2 linked regions of the Oryzias latipes genome follow. The protein of the gene in region 1 interacts with the protein of each later gene in a biochemical or structural test. Links are inferred from orthologs where the notes say so. Each region holds a gene or a part of one and is shown on either strand. Other genes may lie near its edges.

Region 1 (12,785 bases):
TCTGTTCATCCATGTTAATTGTCAAATTAGACATTTCTAAATGAATTTTGCTACATATTTACCAGAGAACTTTTTGAAAATGAAATGTCAAATACCTTTTTCATTATAATTTTAATGAAGTGACAAAATAAGCTGTTTAAGTGGAAAATGAAAAACCATTTGACAGATTGATGACTCATTTTAATTTTGAGTCACAGCTTCATCGTGAAAATGAAAAAGCATTTCCAGTCTTGACTTTTATTTTGAATTATGAGACACATGTGCTTCCAAATACCCCCCACCCCCAGTCCAGGAGTGCATCCTTGTAGCACAGAGGCTCCTTGGTGAGCCACAGCCCAAGTATATGTGAACGCAGCATGTATGCATGTGCATTTCAACTAACAGCCCACCTGAACTCTCGGGTTGCATGGGGTTACAGTTACCTGATGATTGGGGACATGTGTTCATAGAAGACACATCTTCAAGTCAAGAAGACAAACATCCCAATGGCAGCAGGACGCTCAGTCAAGACATTCCCTCCTCTGGAAGCCTTTGCTGTGTTTGAAGCACTTTCAGATGTGGACTCGAGGAGCAGTGAAGAAGATTCTGTTGAAGAATCAGAGTCCATCCTCTGAGAACATGCCAGTACCAATGGATGAGACGTACACATAAAGACCAATGATTGCTGAGGAGGATGAGGAGAAGAAGCCTTCACCTGTAAAGGAAAAGTCCATTCAAGAAAAGCATCAACCTGTTGCAGACAAACAACGGTGCCAAAATGGCATGGTTACTGGAGAAAAGTCTTCCTGGTGGACTTGCATCAGCCAGGGCTGCCTGGTCCCCAAAACCTGTTTTCCTTAGATGTGTAATCACCAGAGAGGGGCGAGGGAGCCGAAGTGTGAGCTGTCCTGCACCTAGATCTAATGTGTAACTGGAGGGTCCAGTCATGAGGGTGACCACCACAACAATCAATTAAAAAGGGGAGGGGCACTGCAGCAGAACTTCCAGAGATTCTGGCTGAAAAATCCTTTCAGAGTCTCAGAAGGTTTTTTTTCATCTTTTGTCTTATAGATTTGTCATAAAAGCTGAGAGAAAACAGTTCAATGTTTCTATCCGCCGCTGAAGTGATGCAGCGCCCAGAAGGATGGACTAAACCGAAGTGAGCTTGAAAGTTAAAGTGTTAGCGGCGGAGAGTTGTCATGTTCCGCTGTGCAGTGACGGTTTTTGATATGGGCGGTCGCCTAGGGCAGAATTTTCCAGGGGGCGGCACGGACGAGGGGAAAAAAATCATTCATTATTTCCTTTCTCTAATTTGAATAGTGACGACATCCATTCTCGTTATCTGAAGGTTTAATTTAAATGTCAAACGGCGCCCTCTGCTGGACGACCCTGAAACTTGCGCCCTCACCTCTTTGCATAGTCTCTGGAACTTCAGGCAAAAAATTCAAGGGGGGGGGGATTCACCGATGGCTGGGTGAATCACACTCACAGGTAATTGGGAGTCTTTTTCAGTCTAACTCTGTCATTGTAGCTCAAACTACTTTCACACCAAATCACATTATGCATTCACCATGAATGTATTTTCAAACCCAATTCCAGTCTCCCAAACACTATGACAAGTATTGGTTTAGCCTGGGGGGTATTCCAGGAAGCATGTTTAAACTACCCTGACTTTAACCCTGAACTCTGCCTGAAATCCGCCTGAACTTGCTTACTCTGATGTAAACCTAAGACAACTTTATTAAACATGCACAATAATATTTGAAGAGTTAGGCTAAGGCTATTGTTAGCGTAAACGTTTAGTTCATCCAAACTAAATGTGTGCACTAAGATAATTAAATACAATTTTATATTCACTCATGTCCAATCAATTTTAATTAATTCCTTCACTCGTACTTTTATTAAAATAGCAAAAAACACAACATTATGAGCCGCTGTCACGTTATTTAGATATTTCTAATGACATATATTCAGTACTTTGTCTCTTATTCTCAGTATTATTAGAATTATTTTGTGGTTGTTCCTCAGCTTGTTGTCAGATATTGCATTAAATATATACAGCTGTGATCCCCTCTACTTCAAATATTTTGTAGGAATGTTCAGTTTTTCTATTCATATTAGATGCACTTCTAAAATATTTTTGGAGCAGCTGCTGTGGTCCCAGACGATACAGATGTCCCACAGCCATCTACCTCAGTCTGTCACTCAGAAGGAGACGGGATCACTTCAGAACCTCACTCAAAAAACGTTCACTTTGAATGAACATAAAAAAATTATGGAAAGGATTTCCACATGATTAGATTGCGTTACATGAACAAAAATGAATCATGTTGGTCCTACTTAATGTTAATATATTTAGGTTGGGTCAACTTAATGTATTTAGGTTGGGTCAACTTAATGTATTTAGGTTCAAACTAATAAATTTAAGTTGATTCAATTTAAATACAGCAGTTGCACCCAACTTTAAATTGATATTGTTGCTCACTCTAGAAAGAAGAAAGTTGATCCAATTTAATTGAATCACTTGAATTGGTCACACATAAGAAAATTAAGTTTATTTAACTTAAATTTCTATTTTTTTCTTTAATTTCATTTACACATCTGTAATTGATACTTTGTTCCAAAGTTACAACCTGTGGGTCTTTTAATTTTCATATCAATGACATGAATTACCCAGCAAGGTCCCACATCACAAGCCAGGAGCTCAATTGCCACAAACTCTGTGTTAAGTATTGGAACATTAGCATTCTACCACACCAGGGGGTTGGTCATCATCCTCTACCAAACTTTAACTCATGGTGCAAAAAAAAATAAACATAACAGTTTAAATCACTAGTTAAAACAGAGTAAAACAGCTAGACAATAAAACCCAGGGACAAAAACTCACACTTAGAGCCCAATCTGCCCAGATAGACAAAGAAAATGGTATCCCACAATTCCTTGCGATTACTAATGCATCCAATTTAATGGTATCACGTTGGATCAACATGATTGAAATTAGTAACTTTTAAATGGATTATTTTTATGTACAATCGACATGATTCATTCACGTAAGATTTACAAACATAAAATTTTCTGGTTGAAATGACAAGTTACTTTTTCGTTAACTTAATTGGCTGGTAATTTCCTTTTTTTGAGTGCTGTTTTGGGTCAGGATGCAGAACCAAACATTTCCACAGACGCTGAAGGCCCATTTGCATCTGATCCACAACAGCAAGAAACATCAGGTTTGCACATCATTTAAATTACTAGTGTAGTAGATATGATATGTATTTTTATAGTCACAGTGTGAACATAATTTCATGAAATGTATGATAATCCATACTGCCTCAAACATTTATTTATTCACAATATATGTGACTTTTTTAGGATTACAAACACAAAAACATCCACATCCATTACAGAGGCTTCAGTGGATGAAGAGCTGCCCCCTGACCCACTAACTGCCCCTCATGACTGACAGGAATCCAACACATCTGGTTTGCAGAGGAGGAATTCAGGTTCCATCCACATTTGTTTCTCTCAAGAATGAGAATGATAGAGGAAGCTGCCATCAGCAGTACTTCAGATGAACTTTAGTTAGTGGAGGAGAGGAGAAAAAACGTGGTTGGTGTACTTAAAAAAAAGGTTCTCGTGTTTTTGCTGCAGACCTTTTTCCAAAAGGAAAATGAGTTTAACAGACCCTGGATTAATGCCAGTTCTTTGATCACCTCACATGACAATAGATCCTATCCACTGCATGAAAACTAGAAAAGAATTAGATGTGAGGATAAGAAAGCTTAAGCTTATCAAAATGTTCCTAAGATCATCCAAGGCTCAAGATCAGCTACCTGGTCTGGTAGCTCTAATCATCAACCACTGAGAAACTAACAAACCAGGGTTTGACTGATGACTTTGCCCGTATTAATGCAAGACTGACACATTTTTAGTTTAAGAGAAGCAGACCAAGTTCATAGTGTAAGCTATGAGAATTTTTAATTTAATATTATGTATGTAGCCCAATATTAGCAAAGTTGTCTCAATAAGCTTCAAGCTTAAATTGCACTAGTTGTTAATAGATTTTTTACATGGAGGTCATTTCAAGCCTCAAGCAAACATGTGTGTTGTTATCCTTGTAAGACTTATTGTTACTTTTGGTATTTTTTTTCCAACAGTCCTATAAGCTGTACGAATTTACAAGCCTCTGGTTGCTTTTTAAAATAATTGTTAATAGTGAAATATTTGAACCATAAAGTAAACCATAATAAGCTGTTGTACTTTTCTGGGTAGTAACTGGGGGAAACTGAGGGGCGCTACTGGTGTGGCTGCCAGAACCGCCACTCCCGCTGTGGGTCGCAGCGGACCCGCCGCGAGGAGCGGAGCGGGACAGGTGAATTCTGACCCCCGTAACCATAGAGAGCCACAGAAATCTATCAAGCTGCGAAGTGAGCAACCTACAGTTGTGCTTTCAAAATAAAAGCATCGGCCTCTTCCTCAATGCTGCCGCTGCCTATCATAGTTTCAATTTGTCTTATTTTGAAAGTGTGGAGCGGAAATGGCCTAGTAGTTATCGAGAGCTTGACGGCTCCACCGTCTCCGAAGCCTTTAATGTTTCTGCACCGTAAAAAAACTTCAAAACCGCTCCGTTAGTTTTCTTTCCGGAAGTTTCCTCCCGGGTCCGCGCGGGATAGTCGCGCTGAATGCCCCGCAGCGACCCGCAGGTTGGGTTCGTCAAAGTTTGGGCCTGTCCCGGGACTTTCAGCAAACTGCGGGATGGACGCGCTGACGTCGAACGGATCCATCATGGACCTGGCCTCTAAGGTGGTGAAGATAAAAGCGCACTTCCGCGGGTAAGTGACCTCCTCCGGCGCGTGGACACCTGCGGAGCCAAGGCGGCGCGCGGTGTAGCGGGCCGGGCCGGGCCGGGCGCGCGGGCACACCTGCCGCCACAAGAATGAGTAAAACAAAAACACCGTTTCTGACTTTCTCACTGCAGGAAAGTTAAATAAGTCCACAAGTGAAAGCAGTGTGACCTGCTGGTCACCAGAAATATCAGACACTGAAAGGTTTGATGGACTTTCGGTCCCAAAGCCTCCATTCTCCTTCAGTTCGGGACATGAAGGTGAGCGCCGCAGTGGCTGATGGGTGGACTCTGACAGCAGGAACCCCAGAACGGTTCCTTCAAACCTGTCTGAGGAACTGGAGGTTCTTCACCCACGCAGGTCAGAGAACAGGTGGAAGTGAAGCAGAAGGACGTCACTAACCATGATCTAAAGGGAGACACGTGAACGCCTCTCCCAGTGTGTGTTCATCTGAACAAACCAGTAGTTGATAGAAATGAGTTTTATTTTGCTCTAGTTCAGAGGTGAACTTTCATTTCCTGTGTCTCCATTGATCTTTGAGCTTTGAAAACATCCCTCCTTGTGGTTTTAATGAGCTGTAGTTGTTGTGGGACCAGCGGTTGCCGGGGCGACCTGCTGCCTGGACTGAAGTTCATTCTTGCAGTGAGGAGTCCGGCTCTCCCTGTCACCTGAAGCTGAGGGGGAGGAGAGCTATTCTGATGAGGAGAACAAACATGATGAGTCTGGAACTAACCTTTAGCTTTGGTTCTCTATCCCACACATGAGGATTGAACAGGAAGTCTTTAAGCATCTATATTAAAGCAAAACTAATCATTTTAGTTCATATTTGTAATAAATCTTTGTTAATGATCCAAACTATTGACATATTAGATGTTAGATGCTGGCCTCCTATGTAGACAAGGGTCATTTGGACTAGGGCTGGGCGATATGGCCTAAAAATAAAATCTCTGATTTTATACTTTTTAATTCGATTTTAAGATTTTTCCCCCCGATGTCCCCCCCCCCCCCCCCCTTACTTAAGGAAAGCAATAAGTACAAACGGCAGACAACTTAAAGCAAATTTTGCTTTTATCTAATCAAACGCAAGACAAATGTAACCCCCATTTCTGGGATGAATAATAAGTACATGAACACACTCTTGGAATCAAAGTCCCAGCTGGGTTTTAAGTCACACTTTGTAGTCTAGACTAAAAGGAGACAAACATTCACCTTGAGAGTAGCACCATTTTCTAAAGGATTAACATTACAGCTCACATCTGGGATCTAAGGTTTTAATTCAATTAATAAACCCCGTCTTCTCCACGGTATCTATGGGTACCATCTCTTTGGCTATATGCCACCGTGCCCCTTTCATAGGGATGGGTACCGTGCCCCGGTATTGAACGAGCCCCGGGGCAACATTCTTCAAGACTGCAGTATCGTTAAGATCTGACCTCAACGGTTCTGCTATCTGTACTAGAGAAGTCGCATTTTTTCTGTGTCCCACAAGATATAAACAAGAGCTGTGACGGTGTGGGATTTTTTTTTTTTTTTTTTATAACTTTATTTATTGAACATTTTCTGTATTAAACAGACATACAGAGTGTAAAATGAAATGTAAAAAAGGCAATGTGTAAAAATAAACACTCACATGTCAACCCGTCCCACCCACCCCCGTCAACAACCCCCAGAGGCCAAGTCAGACACAAAAAAAATAAATAAATAAATAAAATAAATAAATAAAAAATAAAAAAGTAAATAAATAAAAAACACAAACCACTTGGGCTTTTTTTTTTCTTTTTTTTTAAAATAAGAAATACGTCCAGAAAAAAAAAAAAAAAAAAGAAAAAAAAAAAGGTAATTAAATACGTAGTAATAAGTGAGAAAACCAGGGTAACAGCAGTGGCTTTTTGTTGCACTGGTGCTCAGTCAGCCTCCAGATTGTGAGGAAATGTCAAGGAGTCCACATATTGTAGGAAAGGGCTCCAGGTCTCATGAAACACCCTGAGTGAGCCATGAAGTGAGTACCTAAGCCTCTCAAGTTTGAGATTGTAAAGCACCTCGCGGACCCAGCGGACATGCGAAGGGGGACGGGGGAGCTTCCAGTTCAGCAGGACCAGCCTGCGTGCTAATAGGGTGGTAAATGCAACGGCCCGCTTTAGTGCACTCGGCGTGTCTGAAGTTGGGGGGAGACCAAATATTGCCGACATGGGATTTGGTGTGACGGTGTATCTGTAAGCCCTCGTTAGTGTATCAAATACATCTGTCCAAAGAGCTGCGATCACTGGGCATGACCAAAACATATGGGCATGATTGGCAGGAGAGAGATGGCATCTGCTGCAGGCATCACTAATAGAAGGATAGATTTTGGCCAGTCTGGCATTGGTGTAATGGACCCTATAAACAATCTTACATTGAATCAATCTATGGCGGGCGCAAATAGAGGACAAATGGACAAGAGACAATGCCGACCTCCATTGTTGTTCCGTAATGTTAAGGTTTAGACCGTCTTCCCACGCAGTTTTGACAGTATCGGACGGCTTTGAGGATGCTGTCCAAATTGACTTGTAAACGCTTGAAATGCATCCATTAACAAAAGGGTCTTTGGAGAGAAGAACATCCAGAAGAGTTTCTGGTGGGCGATTTGGAAAATGAGGAAACAGTTTTTTAACATAGTCCCTGATCTGGAAGAAACGGAAGAGATGCTGATTCGGGAGGGCATATTTCTTTGACAATTGTTCAAATGAGGAAAATACATTGTTAGTGTATAAGTCAGAGATTGATTTAATCCCATTCCTGTGCCATAGTTTGAATGACAGATCTGTTTTGGACGGATCGAATCTGCAGTTTTTGTAGACTGATGTGAGGACTGTGGAATTTATAAGGCCGAAATGTTTCCTGAATTGACTCCAGATTTTCAAAGAAGTGGACACCACTGGGCAGGTATGGACACTGGGAAGGGGAAGCTGTGCACACAGTATTGAGCGCAGACAAAATTCTGAAGATTTCCCTTCCAGCTGAGTCCAGCTTGAAATGGCCTCATTGTCATCGTTCATCCAGAAAAGAAGTTTCTGGATGTTTGCTGCCCAATAATAAAATCTTAGGACTGGCAGGGCCAGTCCTCCCTCATCCTTCGGGGCTTGTAAGACTGATTTTCGGATACGAGCCGGCCTGCCCGACCATAAAAATGATGAAACGGTCCTGTCTAGCTTGTCAAAAAATGATTTGCCTAGGAAGATTGGAAGATGTTGGAATAGGTAAAGAAACCTGGGAAGGACGGCCATTTTGACCAGACTAACCCGACCTGCAAGCGAGATCGGCAGAGCTGACCAACGTAAAAAATCCCTCTCTGTCCTGTCAATCAGGGGGGTAAAGTTTGTATGGTAGAGCCCAGACAATAATGGGGTGACCTGGATGCCTAGATATCTGAACCCACCAGGTGACCACCGAAACGGAAAAGTAGAGGAAGGGATCATTCGGGCTAGGTCATTGATAGGCAAAAGTTCGCTCTTCTGATAATTAAGTTTGTAGCCAGATATATTGCTATACTCTTGTAGGATATTAAGGATGATGGGAACGGAGGTGATAGGGTCTGAAACGTAAAGCAAAAGATCATCCGCATATAGCGAGACCTTATGAACTGTGCCTAGACGCTTGATGCCAATAAAGGCTGCTTCTGAGCGTAACCAGATGGCCAATGGTTCAATAGCCAGAAGAAACAACAAAGGAGAAAGAGGACAGCCCTGCCTTGTGCCACGATGTAAAGAAAAGGAAGGAGAAAACGTATTGTTAGTGCGAACTGAAGCTTTGGGGGAAGAGTAAAGCAGTTTAACCCAGTCGACAAACCCTCCCCCCAGTCCAAATCGGGATAGAATGTTAAATAGAAAGCTCCACTCGACCCGATCGAAGGCTTTTTCTGCGTCAAGAGAGAGAATGACCTCAGGCATTACAGAGCAAGGCGAAGAAATTATGTTAAAAAGGCGTCTAGTATTACACGACGATAATCTGCCCGGCATGAAACCTGTCTGGTCCAAATTTATGATGGTAGACAAAACGCATTGTAGACGGGAAGCCAGAATTTTAGACAGAATTTTAAAGTCAACATTGAGAAGGGAAATGGGTCTGTAACTGCTGCAAAGTAGAGGGTCTTTGTCTTTCTTAAGGAGAAGAGATATTGTGGCTTCTGAGAGAGTGTTTGGAAGGCAGCCGGAGAGAAAGGCTTCATTATACATATCTTTTAAGAAGGGGCTAAGCACGGAGGAAAAGGTTTTGTAGTATTCAGTGGTAAAACCGTCAGGGCCAGGTGCCTTACCACTTTGGAGTGATTTGATGGCCTCAGAGACTTCTGCCGTAGTGATGGGTTTACCTAAAATTTCAGCATCCTCATCAGTGACACGTGGAAAAGTAATTTTATCAAGCGCAAGATCTGGAGAGTGTGGACACTCAGATGTATAAAGAGTCGAGTAGAACTTCGCAAATGTCTCGTTTACACTAACTGGGTCTGTGATCGTCACACCCGCTGGAGATAATATTGCTGGAATAAGCCTAGAAGATGCCTCAGCCCTTGCCTGGTATGAAAGAAGCTTCCCCGCCTTGTCACCCGATTCATAGAAACGTTGTCTGGATTTAAGCAGCAGCGTTCTGACCTCCGTGGTAGAGATAAGATCAAGCTCTGTCTGTAGTGCGAGTCGTTTCTTATACAAGTCTGGATCAAAACTAGCAGCTAATAATTGGTCTGTGTCCTTGATGTCGTTCAGAAGTAAATTTGTACGAGCAGACTCCACTTTCCTCTTATTAGAAATAAAAGAAATCAGTTGACCTCTAATGTACGCCTTTGAGGCCTCCCAGAGATTGCTTCTATTTGTTTCTGGCAGGTCATTAAATTCAAAAAATAGAGTTAGTTGTGATTGTATAAACTCTTTATAGGATTCCTCAGCTAGGAGGACGGCATTGAACCTCCACTGGTTCAACAGGCGAGGCCGGGAGAGTATGGCCAGATCAAGAGAAACCGGAGAATGGTCTGATATAGCTATACCGTGATAGTCGACAGAAACCAGATTAGACAGAAGTCGTACATCTAAAAGAAAAAAGTCAATACGAGAAAAGGTGCGATGAACATGAGAGAAGAATGAGAACGATTTTCCCCCCGGGAATTTATGCCCCCATGGGTCAGTAATACCGAACTGTTGAGAGAGAGTCGATAGCATTTTGGCTGCTCTAGTAGGGGGGGCAGAAGTGTTAGAAGATCGATCAAGCTGCGGATCCTGCACAAAATTAAAGTCACCACCCATAATTATATAGTGATTTTGGAGATCTGGAAAAGATGAAAAAAGTTTTTTAACAAAAGCACTGTCGTCCCAGTTAGGGCCGTAAACACAGATGAATAGAAAGGATGTTAGTTGAATCTTCCCAGAAACTATTACATATCTGCCATTCGGGTCTAGCACTGACTTTTCTGCAATAAAAGGAAGATCCTTATGGAAAATTATGGCTGCACCACGGGCCCTGCAATTAAATGTGGAGTGAAAGACTTCCCCCACCCAATGTTTTTTAAGTCGCACAACTTCCTTATTGGGCATGTGAGTTTCCTGGAGAAAATAAATATCTCCTTTAAGGCGATTTAAGTGGGTCATTACTCGCCCCAGTTTTGTAGCGACGGTGTGGGATTTTTGATCACCGCCAGATGAAGCAGCAGGAGTCGCGGTCAACCGCACCCCGCGCAACCCCCCCCCCCCCCCCCCCCCTCCACCGCAAATGTATACCGGTACAAGTCATAATTGCAACGCAGTATTCTTTATTAACAAATAACTGTAACAACTAACTATCTAACTAATGAAATAACTATATAGGTGTTGTAGAATGAGGATGCGTGTGTGTTGCAGAGGAATGAGCACATGCCATGCGAGAGTGAGTGACAGCGTGCACAGGTGTTGGGGTGCGTTCATGTTTGGAGTTAGGGAGTGAAGGAGAACAGTAATAAAAGGTTTCCCCCAGGTGTTGGAATAGGTTTGTGGTGCTGCTGCCTTTGACTGTGATGGGCTGTAGGGCTATGTTGTAGCGTGGGGGTGGGGGGGGGGGGGTCTCTTCTTCCACGTCTGTGGCAGTAAAGGATTTTATTCCTGTCTTGGGAACAAACTTCCCTCTCTCACCGGTAGCCATGCTGTCACTTGTTTCATGTGTGCTAGGATGTTGTTGTTTGTCGCTTGCCATACCGCCGTGTGAAACCAACGCTACGGAAGCTCTGGGGAGCCAAAAAATGCGCCATTACACAAAAACTTGATTTAGTTATTTTTTAAATCGCCCGTAACAAAGAATTCGAATTAATTCATTCAGTCGATTTTTCACCCAGGCCCAATCTGGACTATAATTAAAGTTCTGTTGACTCTAACTTAAATTAAACTGTTGCAGTGAAACAGAAACGATGTATTTAGCTGTTTTGTTATTATTTCAACCGAGAGTTTTCCTCATATCGTGCAGCCCTGATGATGATGATGATGATGAATGGTTGCAGGTCTAAATCTGAGAGCCTCCTCACCATGAGGTGTTCCTGGGGTCTGGACCCTGCGGTTCCTGGTTTCTGCTGAGAGCTCACTGTGTTGCAGTGAGCTCTCAGCAGGACCTTCATGAGGCTCTGAAGGTTCTCTGCGCGTCCAGGCGTCACGATTCTTCTCTCAGAAGTTACTGATGGTGGAGTGGTTGTGTTGGGGGATGTAACTGTTTTTGGGGACAGACCCTGTACATGCCTCTGGTGGGTTTGGCCAATGACTGAAGAGATTTTCAGTCATGTGCTTTGGTTTACAAGCTTTGGTTTGTAACAGAAATGTCCGCTTTACTGCAGTCTGAAAAAAGACCCAACGCAAGAGTCAAAACTTGATCCGGACCAGCGGACTTTTCCAGTCTGAGTAGACCCTTAGACCACTGCGTGTGTCTTTGTGGTCCTGGTGCTGAACATCAGGAAATAAAAATGTTTACTTCTTCTCTACAATAAACTCTGCATTCCCATCAATCAATGGAGCAGCATCTCACTGCTGTTGATCTAATGTTGATCTATTTTCCTTCATTCCATCAGATTTACCTTTTTCGTTTTTTGATTTCCAGACCTGGGAAGATGATCCGGGGGGGAACAGAAATCCAGATGATTTCCCACTTACTGTTAGAGGTTTCTGTCCAGATCTTCTACTCGTCTAGTAATTGCATCATTTGACAGACTTATTTCTCAAACTTTTTCTTTTGTTCTGGACAAACAATGTCAGCTACTTTCAGCATACATTCTTTTACAAACTCCCCATCAATTAAGGGCTTGCTTTGCCGGGCCATTTCCAAAGCTACAACGAAGCTACTAGCTTCTGTCACAGCTTCACTGGATTTAGACATTTTAGTAAACAACATCTGCTGTGCAGCACAGCCTTGTTGTAGTTGTTGGAGCTTATTGCTGCACTCCTCACCGGAAAATTTGTCATAGTTTTGATGATTTGTAACATAGTGATGATTCAAATTGAATTCTTTTAGCATTCCATTTAGCTGCTTGCAAATCAGGCACAGGACTTTACAAAGTAAGTATTTGACCACTAAGCTTGAAAGCGCCTTTCTCCTCGCCAACACAAAGTTTTTCCTCAAAGGAACCGGCTCTGGCTCTCTTTTATTGAGGGCCACAAAAACATCTTTGAGAACATCTGTGTTAAAACCTCTAAAAAATGAAAGTCCCGCCCAGCTGCCTCACCGGATTTGACATGCATAAACCGGCCAATCAGATCAACCAAAAGGTTACCGCCCCCAAGTGACAAACACACCCCCTGAACACTGCTAGCAAACCCAGTGAGCCCGCAGGAGCGCTGCTCAGTTAGATTACAGCCCTGCAGTTGTTGAATGCGGGTCGCTCGGTTAGCATTGCGCTTGCGCGGTTGTAAAGTTCGCTCTAAGTTCCCAAAAACACTCGCTCAGTTATCTTTGCACTCGTTCAAGCAGCCATGAAACGCCATAGTTTTC
Region 2 (12,797 bases), about 28 Mb from region 1:
AGAAACAACAAAGAAGTGATTTTATTGGAGGAAAGTAGAGCTCAGTGGAGTTTGTGGTGATGCTACTCTGATACATTTGACTTTTGTGGCGTCTCAAGTTCACTTTGATGCATCTTCTGCAGATTTGATGGTTTGTGCATCCTCATCCAAAACCGTTTCAGTTGCCATCTTGGGAGCAATGGGATGTAAAACCATGGGAAATGGACCCTGGGAGGCAAGGCTCCTCGGCTACATGGTGAGTGTTGCTATGCCTTTGTGAGGAGTGGGAATGAGGGAGGGCAGGGAGGAAGGGAGAGGTGGGAGACGCTGGAGGAGAGAGCTAGAGAGGCCTGGCAGACTGTGGGGGAGGCGGAGGCCTCATCTGCAGTGCTGTGTGCAGGGGGAGAGCTTCAGAGGGGGGCGGGGGATGTGGGTGAGATAGGAAAGGGAAGAAAATTGGGTGGAGGAAGAAGCTTGAGGGTGGGGGGAGTCGGAGACAAACACAAGGACCCACAGATGGGTGATGGAGAAGGAGGTGACGGGTGAGTATGCTGTCAGACACAAAGAGGCTGCAAAGACAATGAGGACCCCTGTCGATAACAGGAGGGGGGTGAGGATGGGGGGTAACTACAGCCGGGTCTGGGTCACAGTTTGGCATTTGTCCCCACCTGACCCGCTTTGTGCCTCCACCTGAGTGCAATAACCAGGTCCAAAAACACAATAACTGGTGCTGACCTGGGCAGAGGAGAGATGGGACGTGAGCCTCTGGTGTCTTCTACACACGGCGCCCCCTGAGGTGGGGCAAATGGAAACTAACTGAAAAGGTGGGGGGTGATTTTTTTTTTTTTTCTAAATACATTTTTTCTCCTGTTCTTTGTGGGTAAGTGCTGTAGCACGCCCTCCTTTTGACAGTTTCGTGCTACTGGAGGTCAGACAAACCACAGTGTCACACAAACCAGAGGCAGGGAGGTGGTGGTGATGGGTGGGGGGGGGGCTAAAGAAAGCCAATGCAGACTATCGGGAGACAAGAGGCCTCATCTGCAGTGCCTCGTAATGGAGGTTGGGGATGGGGGGAGGGGGGGGGGTAAATGAGGGAGGAAATGGGAGTGGGAGGGATAGACGAGAGAGATGGTTCCCACTTCTGGCTCCTCCTTCACTATGAAGATAATTATGAAAGAGATTACAAATTATTCATGAGATGAATGCCTTGGACCATTCAGAAAGTAAAGTTTATTTTCTGAAGACATCAAACTGAACCTTCTTTTCTCCTGTTTTTTTACCTGTTTTTATGTGCCAGAACAAAATCCAGCAAACAGGGTCCTCATTTTGGGCCAACAATTGGATAAATAACCAAACAACCATATTGATATGAAATCAATATTTAATGAAAATTACACAGAAATACAATAGCAGAGTGAAATACAGCATCCCAAGGATTCATCATACAGTCCTGTCAGGATTCTGTCCAAAGTATCAGATTATATGGACTGTTAGAGTTACGTAATTATCATTTGCTCACACGCTATTATCAGCATAATATGATTGTCTCAGTTCTATCTTTCAGTAAGTAAACAATGACCTGAAAAGTTCTGATTATACAAGAATATGATGTTCCTGTAGTTCCTGATTAAATGACCCTCGTTCATGTTTGCAACCTTCAGTTTTCAATTAAAAGAGGCTCCATGCACTAGGAAGGCAGAACTCCTCCGTGACAGTTCGCGCTGTGACAGACCGATTCTCATTCTCATCTCCTGTGTGGTTCTTCTCTTTTATTAAGGAAAAAGTCAGAACCCTGACATGGACGTTTTTAATTATAAAGCTTACTTGAAAGATCATTTCTTTACATATGCTCTAGGAACAAAAATTAAATCTCTTGTTTTTGCTTTTTTATGATAATAAATCTCAGATTTTTTTCTCTGTTTTTGCAGAAAATTTCTTGTAAATGTAACAGATTTTGTTTTCTCAATGATGTGATCACATTCCAGAATATTTCTTTAAAGACAAAAAAAAAAATTAACTTCTATAAACACGTTTCCAGAATTTTTTCTAAAAGATGTGAAACAAGCCGAGGATCTTTGAGCCTTGCTGGCGTCGACATAGATCTTTGCTTGCTGCTCTGCTCTGTCGTTGGTTTGCTGCCATGCGGGGGATTTTTAATGCTTCATTTTTCAGCCCTTTTTTTTGTTAAAGGTTTCCTTTTGTTATTGCTGGTATCTGATTTCATATTTATATGTAACTTTCATTTATAACTTTTAATCAGTTTGAATTTATACAAACATTAAAGTCCCAACAGCTTTAAGTTGAAACAAAAAGGTATGAAAACATTTTCTTTACCTCAAAGTTTTTAACCTTTCATCGTTATATTTGAAGGTTTCAGGAATTTCAATTGGACATTATTTCCATTTTATTGAAAGTATTTGAAATGTTTGTTTTAAATTTTGAGCGTTTCCTCTGTTCTAATAAATGATTGGCATAAATTCTAGAGGTGTGTATCGGCAAGAATCTGGCGATACGATACGCATCCCGCGATACGATACCTATCATGATATTTTACTGGAACACTTTTTTTGTTTTGTTTAAGAGTTTGACTTAGAAAAAAACTCTACCTCAATATCAATAAATGAATTGTAAAATTCCTTTTTATTTAATGATCACAACGTTAAGCAATGCAACTCTATCTCATATGTAAGTTGTTTTGACCTAAGCAAATTCACAGTGCTTTTATTTTAGTTATTTAAAATATATTTGTTCTTAAAGGGGACAGTCAATTTCAACAGTCTGATTTCACAACAAAATATTTTTAGTATGAGGGAAAAAAATAGAATGAATGTGCCTTAAACAATGAGGTTCTAAAAGTATGATTCTGTTTATTTCCATTATTGCTTAATGTAACTTCTCCAGTTCTTTGAAAATGCTAAATTTATGTTTTTTAAATGTGAAAAGTAGTTAATGTCTAGAATCTATTTTACAAATAAACCAAATACAGAAAGTGGATGGGTTCTAACTGTAGATTAAGCAGCACAATAAAGGTTTCAACACTATTTTGTTTGAAAATAGTCTTGTTTGTTTGAGAGATTTTGCAAGAAACCCAGATACCTTTCAGCAGTCCGTCCAATGAAAGGGTGGTGGTGTTGGTGAGATGTAAACGTAGAGGATGCAGAGCAGAAATGTGCTTCTCTGTGACTTCTGCTGCCACTAAACGTAGGTGGACAGAGGACGTCTGCAGACGCACAGCGGACATGGACTTTAGGGAAGCAGGGAGGGAGGTCACTTAAGGTCATTGAAGCTGTAACGATGGTATTTCCGAAAAATGCGCTGAAAGTGGAGCTCAAAGGTTTGGAGACATGTAGGATCAAACAGGTGAAACAGTAAAAATGAAAAGTAAAACTTTAATATATAAAATTGAAGCCTAATGTAGGGTTTTAGATGGAGAAGGTCATGGAACAGCATCTCAATCAAATGAAAGGCTGGACTGGAACTAAAACATTACAAAGGTGGGAAAAAAACATACAAATCAGGATAAATAAACAATGCAGATTCCCTTCAAATAAAATCACATTTTCTATTCAATAGTCTCATTTTTCCAAGAGGTTAAGGAGCCCTTGGCTGCACGCCGTGTACTTTGATAGTATGACATTTAATTGGATTTTATCACTAATCATGTTCATAAATGTGACAAATTGCACAGTGCTGTACTTATTTAAATCAAAAATATTCACTGCTATTCTTTCTCTTTCTTGTTTCAATATCTAACATTTGCCTTTCGTGATGCTGCCAATCTATCATTTTTACACTCGGTTTACATTTCTTAGATGACGGATGTGGTTTCACCGATGCTTGTTTATATGTATTTTCTGTTTTGAAATGTGCTGCCTTGTTGGCCAGGACTCCCTTGCAAAAGAGGTTTTTAATCTCAATGGGACTTTCCTGGTTAAATAAAGGTTAAATAAAAAAAGAAAAGAAAATAGAAGTGTTACCATACTGACAACCCAACTCCATTAGCAGCTTTTGTGTTTTTTTTGGCCAGTAGATGTCCCCACACACACGCACATACACACCAGGCTGTACATATTCATCACAGCATCTTTCACAGACAAAAAGACAACACAAAAGTTTATTGTTTTATTCATTTTAAAGACCATTTTAATGGAATCTTCGTGGTTTTACCTATTTTTACTTAATCTTTTCAGACAAAATGATAATTAGAAACCACTATTTTCTCCTCTGAATGATCAGCTGTCTGTTTTTCAGCACAACACAAGAACAAATGATTTTTATTATTTATAATTATTTACAGTTTTTGCTTTAAAAGGAGTATTTTTTTTTTGAAAGTTGAGTTGCTTGAAAAGTTGGAACAAAGCCCCCCACCCCGACACTCACATGCACTGGGTAACAGTTGATGTGTTGTTTTACAGACTTTTCAGAGCAAAATCTACCAAAAGAGGGAGCATGTTCTGACTCAGACTGTGAGGGTATGGAAAAAAGTGAATAAATTGCAGGCATAGATAAAAACAACATTGACTTAGTTTGCAGCCATTGAAAGTCTGTTTCTATTGTAACGATCCGGCCGGACCGTCACTTTAGTGGGATAGCGAAAGCCAACTGCTCATGAAGTGGTCCTAATGGAAATCTGTCCGTGCCCCATACACCGCACGACCCCTGACAGTCTCAGGTTGGAAGAAACGTAGAGAGAGACAATATTAGCTTTTAAGCAAAAAGCCTGTTCATTCCAGCCAATATACAGCCCAAACAGCATGGATCGTGACTTCAGCTTCCAGCCCTCTGACTCAAGGTTTGACCCTAAGCTCCCCACTTCCCATGAGCCTTAGGGGCTGAAGGCGGGGCTAACCCCCAGGTCGCTACACTATCATCACTGATTTCGGTCGTCCGTCCCCGCTCTTCAACGCTCCCTCCAACCCAAATACAATCTAAACTGTTTTAACCCAAAATGACAAGTGGACTTTATCATGGCTTCACTTCTGCACCAAACTAAAATGAGAGTAAAATCCCTTAAAATTGGTTTCAATGCTTTTCTTGGTCCAATTCACCAAGTTTTCAATTTTTGGGAGCAAGTTAACTTTTTTGCTTTGCCAAAAAGCTAAAACATCTGTTTGCATTTGTCAATGGTGCCAGCTTGAGTCCAAACTTGAGATAAAATGTTTATTCCTGATCTGATTTATTTTATATGATAATTTGATTGTTTTAGCACATTTAAGGTAACCATTTATCGTGATTTTTGCCAACTTTTGCGATATGCGTATTGCACAGCTTATGTTGCGATAACGTTGCATCTGCAATTTATTGGGAAGGGCTTAATAACTTCAAGTAAAAAATATATGTATATTTTTTATTTAGTAGGAAAAAAATATTTATGGTAATAATAATAATCATACTTCATAAATTAAAAGTAAACCCATCACCCAAATTTCCTTTATTTTCCTGAAATGATGGTGTACATTTTGAATCAACGTAGACATTTTTTATTGAAAATGTAAAAAATGTTTTTTGAATGTCTGCCACTTTAAATATTATCCCTAATCCACATTATCTGTCCCTCGACGGTACAGAAATATTGTTTGTATTTATTAAAAGTTTTTCTCATGACGTCCTTGTTCAAAATAGTGATAAATATGAGTCTTATTTTGAAGTTTTAAATGTATTGAAATGTCAACGACTCTTATTTTGAAGGGCGCAGCTTTCCAGGCACTCGGAGGGCGGCTGGGCATTCAGCCGAGAAGAGTCGCAAAGACACAACCGGACGCAGCGCGAGGTCCACGCACAGCGGCAGCTATGAGACGAGAGAAGTTCACGCGCTGAGCCAGGCGGGTTGACAGCCTTCGTTGGACACTTCCGGACCGATATAAACGAACCGGCGCACGCGGAGGAGAACCGGGACGTCTTCTGCTGCTGTCGGAGAAGTGACTGGCGGACGCTTTTTTTTGGGGGGGGGGGATACGCGGCTGCGGCAGGAGGAGCGGAGAGAGAGGGTGTGCTTCGGCGGCTGTCCCGCTGCTAGCGAAACATGAACAAAAACCACCGAGTGCCGAGCAGCCGTTCTTTGAGTGCCGTGGAGGTGAAGAGCAAGGTGATCCCTGGACTCCTTTACCGTTTCCGTTCGATGTGTTTGTGATCGCAACTCCGCGGTCATTAATCTGTCACTCTTGCTAATTTAGCCTGCTAAGTAGCCCGGTACCAGATTAATGATGGCGCAAAAAAACACATGAACAAAATGTTAAACATTTTTGTGTTATTGTTTCCACAACATCGATCGAGACGTCGACGCGCCGCCAAACGTGAGAGTGGCGTCGTCGTTCTTCTCGGTGTAGTTCGAGGGTTTACGTTAACGTCAGTTGACGCCGCGGTGAGCTCGTGTCACCTGTCACCGCTTCCTCCGCCGCTCCCGCCACCCGTTCACTAAAGTTTAGAGCCGGGGTTCTTACCGCTTTTCCCTCCCGGGGGGATGGGGGGGGGGGGGGGGCATTCGCGGGACTTTTCTCATCTTTCTAGTTGATTGAAACTACCGGAGGAAGGCAGGAGCGGCTGCCCCGAACTTAGGGCGACGTCGCCCCTCCCGCGTGCACAGGTGTCATTCGGCCTGCGACAGGCCGGCTCCTTCCGCCAGAGCCTGCTTGTTGCATGATTACACACACCGTTGACAGAATAGGCTCTTTTTTTTAGCGCCTCTAAACTCGTTTTTGTTCATGTGTGCGCATGTCGACACAAACTACAACCGTCCCTCTGTTGATTCTACGGAGTTCTGCTCTACAATTTGTGTTTTGGGAGTTTTATATTTTGTTATTTGGTCATTTTCTACTCATCCCTGGTTCTATTTAGGGTGTCTCCTCCCAAAAACCTGAGCCTAACACACTTCTTTTGGTGTAAACCTGGCCAAGTTGGCACTGAATTCTCATCATCTTTTGTGGAGCTTGGCAACAGTAACCACAACAACCCGTCCGTATTCATCAACATTAGCCAGGAGACATTATAGTACAGAGTCTCTGAGCTGCACTGAAGAGCTCAGACGGCGTGTTAGAATGCAGCTTTTATAAAAAAAAAAAACTGATTAACTCTATTTACTGCATCCATGTTTCATTTAGAAACCCTATTATTCATGTTTTACAGACAATACTGGTAGTTGAACACCTACATGTTCGTATTGTAATTAATGCTGACAAAACTTTATTTTTATTTTTTTTGCGGGTCAGTTTGGTGCAGAGTTTCGTCGGTTCTCTCTGGATCGGTCGAAGCCGGGGCGCTTTGATGAGTTCTACGGCCTTCTGCAGCACGTGCACCGCATCCCCAACGTGGAGCTGTTGGTGGGCTACGCCGACGTGCACGGCGACCTGCTGCCCATCAACAACGATGACAACTACCACAAGGCCATCTCCACGGCCAACCCTCTGCTCAGGCTGTTTCTGCAGAGGAAAGGTAAGAACAGGAAGACTTTGAACTGCTCTGTGCTTGTCTGAGAGGTGAAAACTGCTCACCTGAACAGAAATGATCAAATGTATACAATGCTCTGCTGAAGGTTTCGGGATTTAAAAGGATATTTAAAGAGCCACTCCGATGAAAATGCAGTTTTTCAGCATGTTCTTGTGGCTTTTTTTTGGTGTCGGAGGACATATTCAAAGAACATTTAGCTCAAAGTTGCATTTCTGAGTATTTCTGTGTTCAAATCTATGTGAATCAGGAGCAGACAAAAAATGCTGTTTGAAAATGAGCATCTTTGTGACGCAGAAAATACACTTGGTGAGTGACAGACAAGCTCCCGCTCTGACCTCTCTGCACCAGGGAGAGGAAGCGGGGCGGGGTTGCCCCGTGCTCAGAGGCAAATTTCTAATGAACTACTGCAACCCTGCAGTAAACTATGTCCTAGAAAATGACACAAGTGTTTGGATTTGAGCAAAATTGTGACATAATCATTGTTAAAATACCACCGGGAACGCTTTGAAAATAGATCAAAAGATGGAAGGCGGCTTTAGAAACAGGGGTTTTATTAATTTGTTAAATTGATAATGCATTGGAGAGCCATGTTTAGCTGTAATCATAGATCTGGATGCTTTCCGAAACCTTTTTGTTTGTTTTCCAGCTCTGACCGGAGTATTTCTAGGTTTGAAACTTAAAAAAAAATGTTTGGAAAAATGTCCTCACTTCTTTTTAATACTTTTTTTTAGAAGTAGATGTTTGGATTTTGTGTTCTGCTCCTGTGCTGTTGAGCATTTCCAGGAAATGGTGTTGAAAAATGAGGATTTTTTTTTTTTTTTTTTTTTACCATCTGTCTCCTTGGGGTCAAATTTGACCCTCCTTTCGGGTTTTTAAACTTACTTGGCAACTGGGGAGTTTCCGAGCGTGACCTGTTGAACGTCCCCGCCCCCCTGGGTGTGCTTGATCGGGGCAAACCTCGTGTGTTTAAGCCGTCCCGCTGTGCCATATGACTGTATAGAGGCTAAGCCACTTTGTCAGGAGGAGATTAGTGGGGGTCACCGTGCAGTGCTGCATGGGACGGTGTTTCTATGACACGCTACAAAGGCAAACCCACGCTGCGTCTGCTGCCGTTCGTAAACACAGCAGCAAAAACGACGCATGCTAACGGAGGCTACCAGGCTGCAGACATACAAGCTGTGTGCCGCCACACGCCACGTTGAAAAATGGGAATAGAGGAAATGGGGGGGGGGGTGACTTAATGCAGTACCCCACAGACTCCATTAACTTCAGAGCTTAGTATCTCTGCTGATTTGTTACTACCCCCCCTGTCAGGCACCAGTTGGTCCCAGCTTAATAACTCAACAGACGCAGAAAATTGCCTTTGAAAATGATTCAGAATTTGCCTTCATTTTTTTTAGAATAAAAAGGAAAGGAACTTAAGCAACAATCTGATTTCAGTGTATTACAACCACACAAATCAATTTTCAATTGTGTCAAACTGGAAATGAAATAAATATAGTCGATTTGAATAATAGAAAATGCATCGGCAGCATCTGAACAGAGTTCAGCTTTCTTAAAAAGCTGTGTATTGTTGACTTTGGATCATAAATAGCTTTAAGAGGAATTGTGGCAGAGAGACGGATGCTCCTGTGGTGAACCTGTGGCAATATTTGCACAACCATCCATCCATGTGGAAAAAAAATGACGCGTTTCTTCTGTAATCTCCTGCGATTGAAGGAGGTGAGGCTCCAGCAAACAGAGGAGGCCTAAAGTGGATCCTGGGGTTTCACGGCAGCTCCTTCATGAAAGCACAGGGGTGTCGGTATGCGTCCGTCTCATGACACACGGAGGGCAGGAATTTGCAGCAATGCGAGAAAACATTTCGACGCGTGCTTGTGAAGGAGCATTCAGGAGACATTAAACAATAACACCAACGTCCTGCAGTTTGTTTTGCATTATGTCAGTTCATGTAAACTTTTTCTGAGTACGGTAGTTGATATGATAGAAACAAAAGGCTAAATATTTTGTAAACATGCATGCTTTTAATGGGTTTTAGCGTGGGTTTTTTGCCTAGACAGGACACTGAACCAGTTTAGAGTGTTATGCTTTGAGTCACAAATTTTGAAAGCCTGAACTTTCCTGTTTTGGGGTATAGTGCTCCCTCACTATGTCGCAGTTTTGCAGATTTTGTCAGTACAATTTTGCATGCTGTTATTAATTATTTTAAATATATATATATATATTTTGTTTTTTTTTTTACACAGCACACTGTGTTCTGCATCCCATGTGGCTTTAGACCATGTCAATCAGTCTCGTTTGTACCGTGTCTCCTGTACAGAATGCCTTCAGTTTACCAAAATGACATCAACCTTTGATCACGAGCCGATCTCTGGTTTTATTCTACGATACTGGAATAATTTTTCTATCAAACTTCGAACTTTGAGAGGTTGAAGAGATAAAAGTGTGTAGTTAGGGGTTTTACAGCTTTTAAACATCTGTAACCCTATTTGGTGGATTTCTGCGATGGCAGGTTATTTCTAAAACATTACCTCCGCAATAAATGAAGGAACCGATCCACTTTGACCGGTACATTTAGAAAAATCGGTCTAGTTATGAGAGTAACGGCCGTTCTGACCAAGATTATGTCGGTAAAAATTTATTAAATTGTTAAAGAAGTAAATAACCAGTTTGTCGGTTTCTCTTCCTGTTGTGTCTCTGCTGTCTTTGCCTTTTCATGTACATGTGATGCAGACAAAAAGACGTCCAATCATAAGCTTGCTTCTGCCAAACGGCCTGAGATGAATTGAAGAAGTTATGGCAAAAAGCATTTCATTTTTGTTGCTCAAAATCTAAAACAAGTTTATCTACTAAAAGGCGTTTTCATGTATGTTTTTAAATGCCAAATGTATAATAAATATCTAGATTGGATCCATTTAGGGATAAAAGTTGTACTGTATCATATCACCACAAAATGAGTTGAATCTTTTATGTTTTTAAGCGTGGACAGCGTACGCCGATGCTTATTGAATCATGGGAGAGGGGAAGGTACACCCCCCAAACGTTGACTGATGGTTTTTGAAGAGTTTAGCGTCACAGCAGATGGTGTGTGATATTCCTGGCCTTCTGCGCGCTCCTTCTACCGCTGTGCAGATGCTTCAGTGCATGGTTGTTGGGCTGTGAGTGTGTTGTTGCATTGTTGCAGTCTGGTTCCTGAAGAAAGCCCACATTGTTGTTGTTTGTGCGTACGCCCGCTGTCACAGAGCTGCTGTTGAGGCGTTCGGGGAAGGATGTGTGACCCGCTTCCCTCTGTGCCAGTCATTTTGGAAGGTTTTCTCCGTCCACCGGTGGACATCCCCTCTAACCACGCCCGTGTTGTGAACGATGTGTTGAGCTGCCGGTGATGTGTAGGCTTCAAGAGGCTTTCCATAGGTGGGGTCTCCTGACAGAGAGGTTTATGTCAGGACTGTTGGGTTTGTTATTTTGAAATGTGTGTCATACAAACAGGCTGGGTTACCTGATAGAGCTGTAATGAGGAGGAAGCGACACCCAGACAGCATGACATCACTCCGAAAGGAGATTTGCTTGGAGGCATTTCCTAAACGTCAGTGTTGGGTTTCTTTTCTACGCAAGCTAAGCATTCTTGACGATCTTTGCACCAGCATTCAGCTGCTGCAGGCGAAATATTAAGGTGAATAATGCCGAGGTCATTTATCTCTTGGAATATTTTTGTTATTGTTCTCATGTGAAGGATTTCTATTTTTGTAACGGTAAGGAGCAGCTGCCAGCCGCTCAGATACAAAGCTGTTTCTGGCTCACAGTCACCCCGTCTGACATTTGTTGTTTTTGTTGTTTAAGAGGATTAAAAAAAGGTCAGAGGAATGATCGATAACCTGCTGATTGGTAACAAAACCCATGTCAGGCTTTAAAAAATATCACGATTTCCTTAAATTTATAATATTTTTAAGTTTTTTTTTCTTGTAGAAGAAAAACTCGACACACCGGGGGGAAAAAAGCTTTAAAGTCTCACTCTGATCATCTTATGATCTAGTTTTTAAAGCTTTCCCATTGGTCTTTATGATTCTGCTGTTTTTAGCCCATATCAAAAAACTTTGTTGTTTTCTAGGACACGGTTTCTGTAAAGCGGCGGGATTGTTGGCTGGGAGCAACCCCACCCCCCTTCCTCTCGCCCATAACTCTGGGCTTTCTGCTTAGGGTACACTCTCTCTCTAGCTCTCAGCCGCTCACAGCCCCAACTTGACATTAGCGGTCCATCAAAAATGGCGAGCAATATCAGAACTATCCATTGGTACAGTTTAGATCCAGATTCCAGCTCAGACGAGGAAAACAAAGACGTTGATGGATCCATTTGTCTACTAGTGAATTTATCAAAATGAAGCTTGTGGCCCCACCCAGAGTATTTTCTTTGTCACCAATACGATGTTTTACCAACAACTTTTGTTCGTCTGCTCCTGAATTACTATGGCTTCAATAAAGAAATGCTCAGAAATGCAATTTTGAGCTTGAATTTCCCTATATGTGTCCTCCATCATGAGAAAAATGACACTTGAACATGTTAAAAACACCCAAAACACCATTTTTATCAGTGGGTCTTTGAACATGAGAGATTTCTTTCCTTGTTCTCCATTTGCTATTTTTTAAGTGCAAAAGACAATGTGAACCTGAAAGCATTCGTCATCCGAATCGTAATTTGAGCTCAGACCGGATCACATTTCTTTAACATACCTTTGCAAAGGCCGAGCATATTCGGAGGGACAGGAATGCCTTTATTTACCTATCATAGCTGAGACTGCCTTTGCAGTTAGTAACCTGTGCATGAGTCATCGAGCCAGAGTCATGGAAATGTGGACTGTGAAAGTTCACACACATGCACTGCAATACGAAAAACAAAAAAGTACTTTTGTCAGAGGGGAAATATGGCAGCTCCAGAAGCAGATGAAAAATAGAACATGATTAAAGACAGACTGAATGAGGACGGCGCCACGCGAGAAGCGCTCAGATCAAGAGACTGTAGCGGCGTTCAAGCGACAGGTGTAAATGTCGCCGTTTGTCAAGTCAAAGAATCCTCCTTTGGGTTGAAACTCTTCCTCTGAGCATGCATTATTCTGAAGGATGGTGCATGTAATGAGCAGATGATGGATTCAGCGATCGAGAAGGAATGTGAGGGGGGGTTGCTGGGGTCTATTGGGATGGACGGGAGGCAGAGTTAACGGCACGCCGGTCTGAGTAAGGCAGAAAGCATTGTTGTGGCAAGGCACATAATTAGTGAGGAGAGGGAGTCGTGTAAATGTGATAAGAACACAAGGAGAGGTAAGAGGAGAGGGAGTGGGAAGAGTATTAGCGAGGGAGGAATGCAGAGGGAGGCCCGAGCTGGG

The links.
Region 2: the proteins of prkcz (region 1) and pard6b form a complex in vitro, tested with the Homo sapiens proteins (2 studies listed by BioGRID). The link is inferred for Oryzias latipes from reciprocal best matches to the Homo sapiens genes PRKCZ and PARD6B.

The regions. Positions count from the first base shown.
Region 1 is NC_019865.2:32,861,487-32,874,271, forward strand, and holds the start of prkcz (protein kinase C zeta type), read left to right. Parts: upstream 1-4,519; 5' UTR 4,520-4,731; coding exon 4,732-4,808; intron 4,809-12,785. UniProt on the Homo sapiens protein: Calcium- and diacylglycerol-independent serine/threonine-protein kinase that functions in phosphatidylinositol 3-kinase (PI3K) pathway and mitogen-activated protein (MAP) kinase cascade, and is involved in NF-kappa-B activation, mitogenic signaling, cell proliferation, cell polarity, inflammatory response and maintenance of long-term potentiation (LTP).
Region 2 is NC_019865.2:4,510,676-4,523,472, reverse strand, and holds the start of pard6b (partitioning defective 6 homolog beta), read left to right. Parts: upstream 1-5,687; 5' UTR 5,688-6,001; coding exon 6,002-6,064; intron 6,065-7,184; coding exon 7,185-7,407; intron 7,408-12,797. UniProt on the Homo sapiens protein: Adapter protein involved in asymmetrical cell division and cell polarization processes. Probably involved in formation of epithelial tight junctions.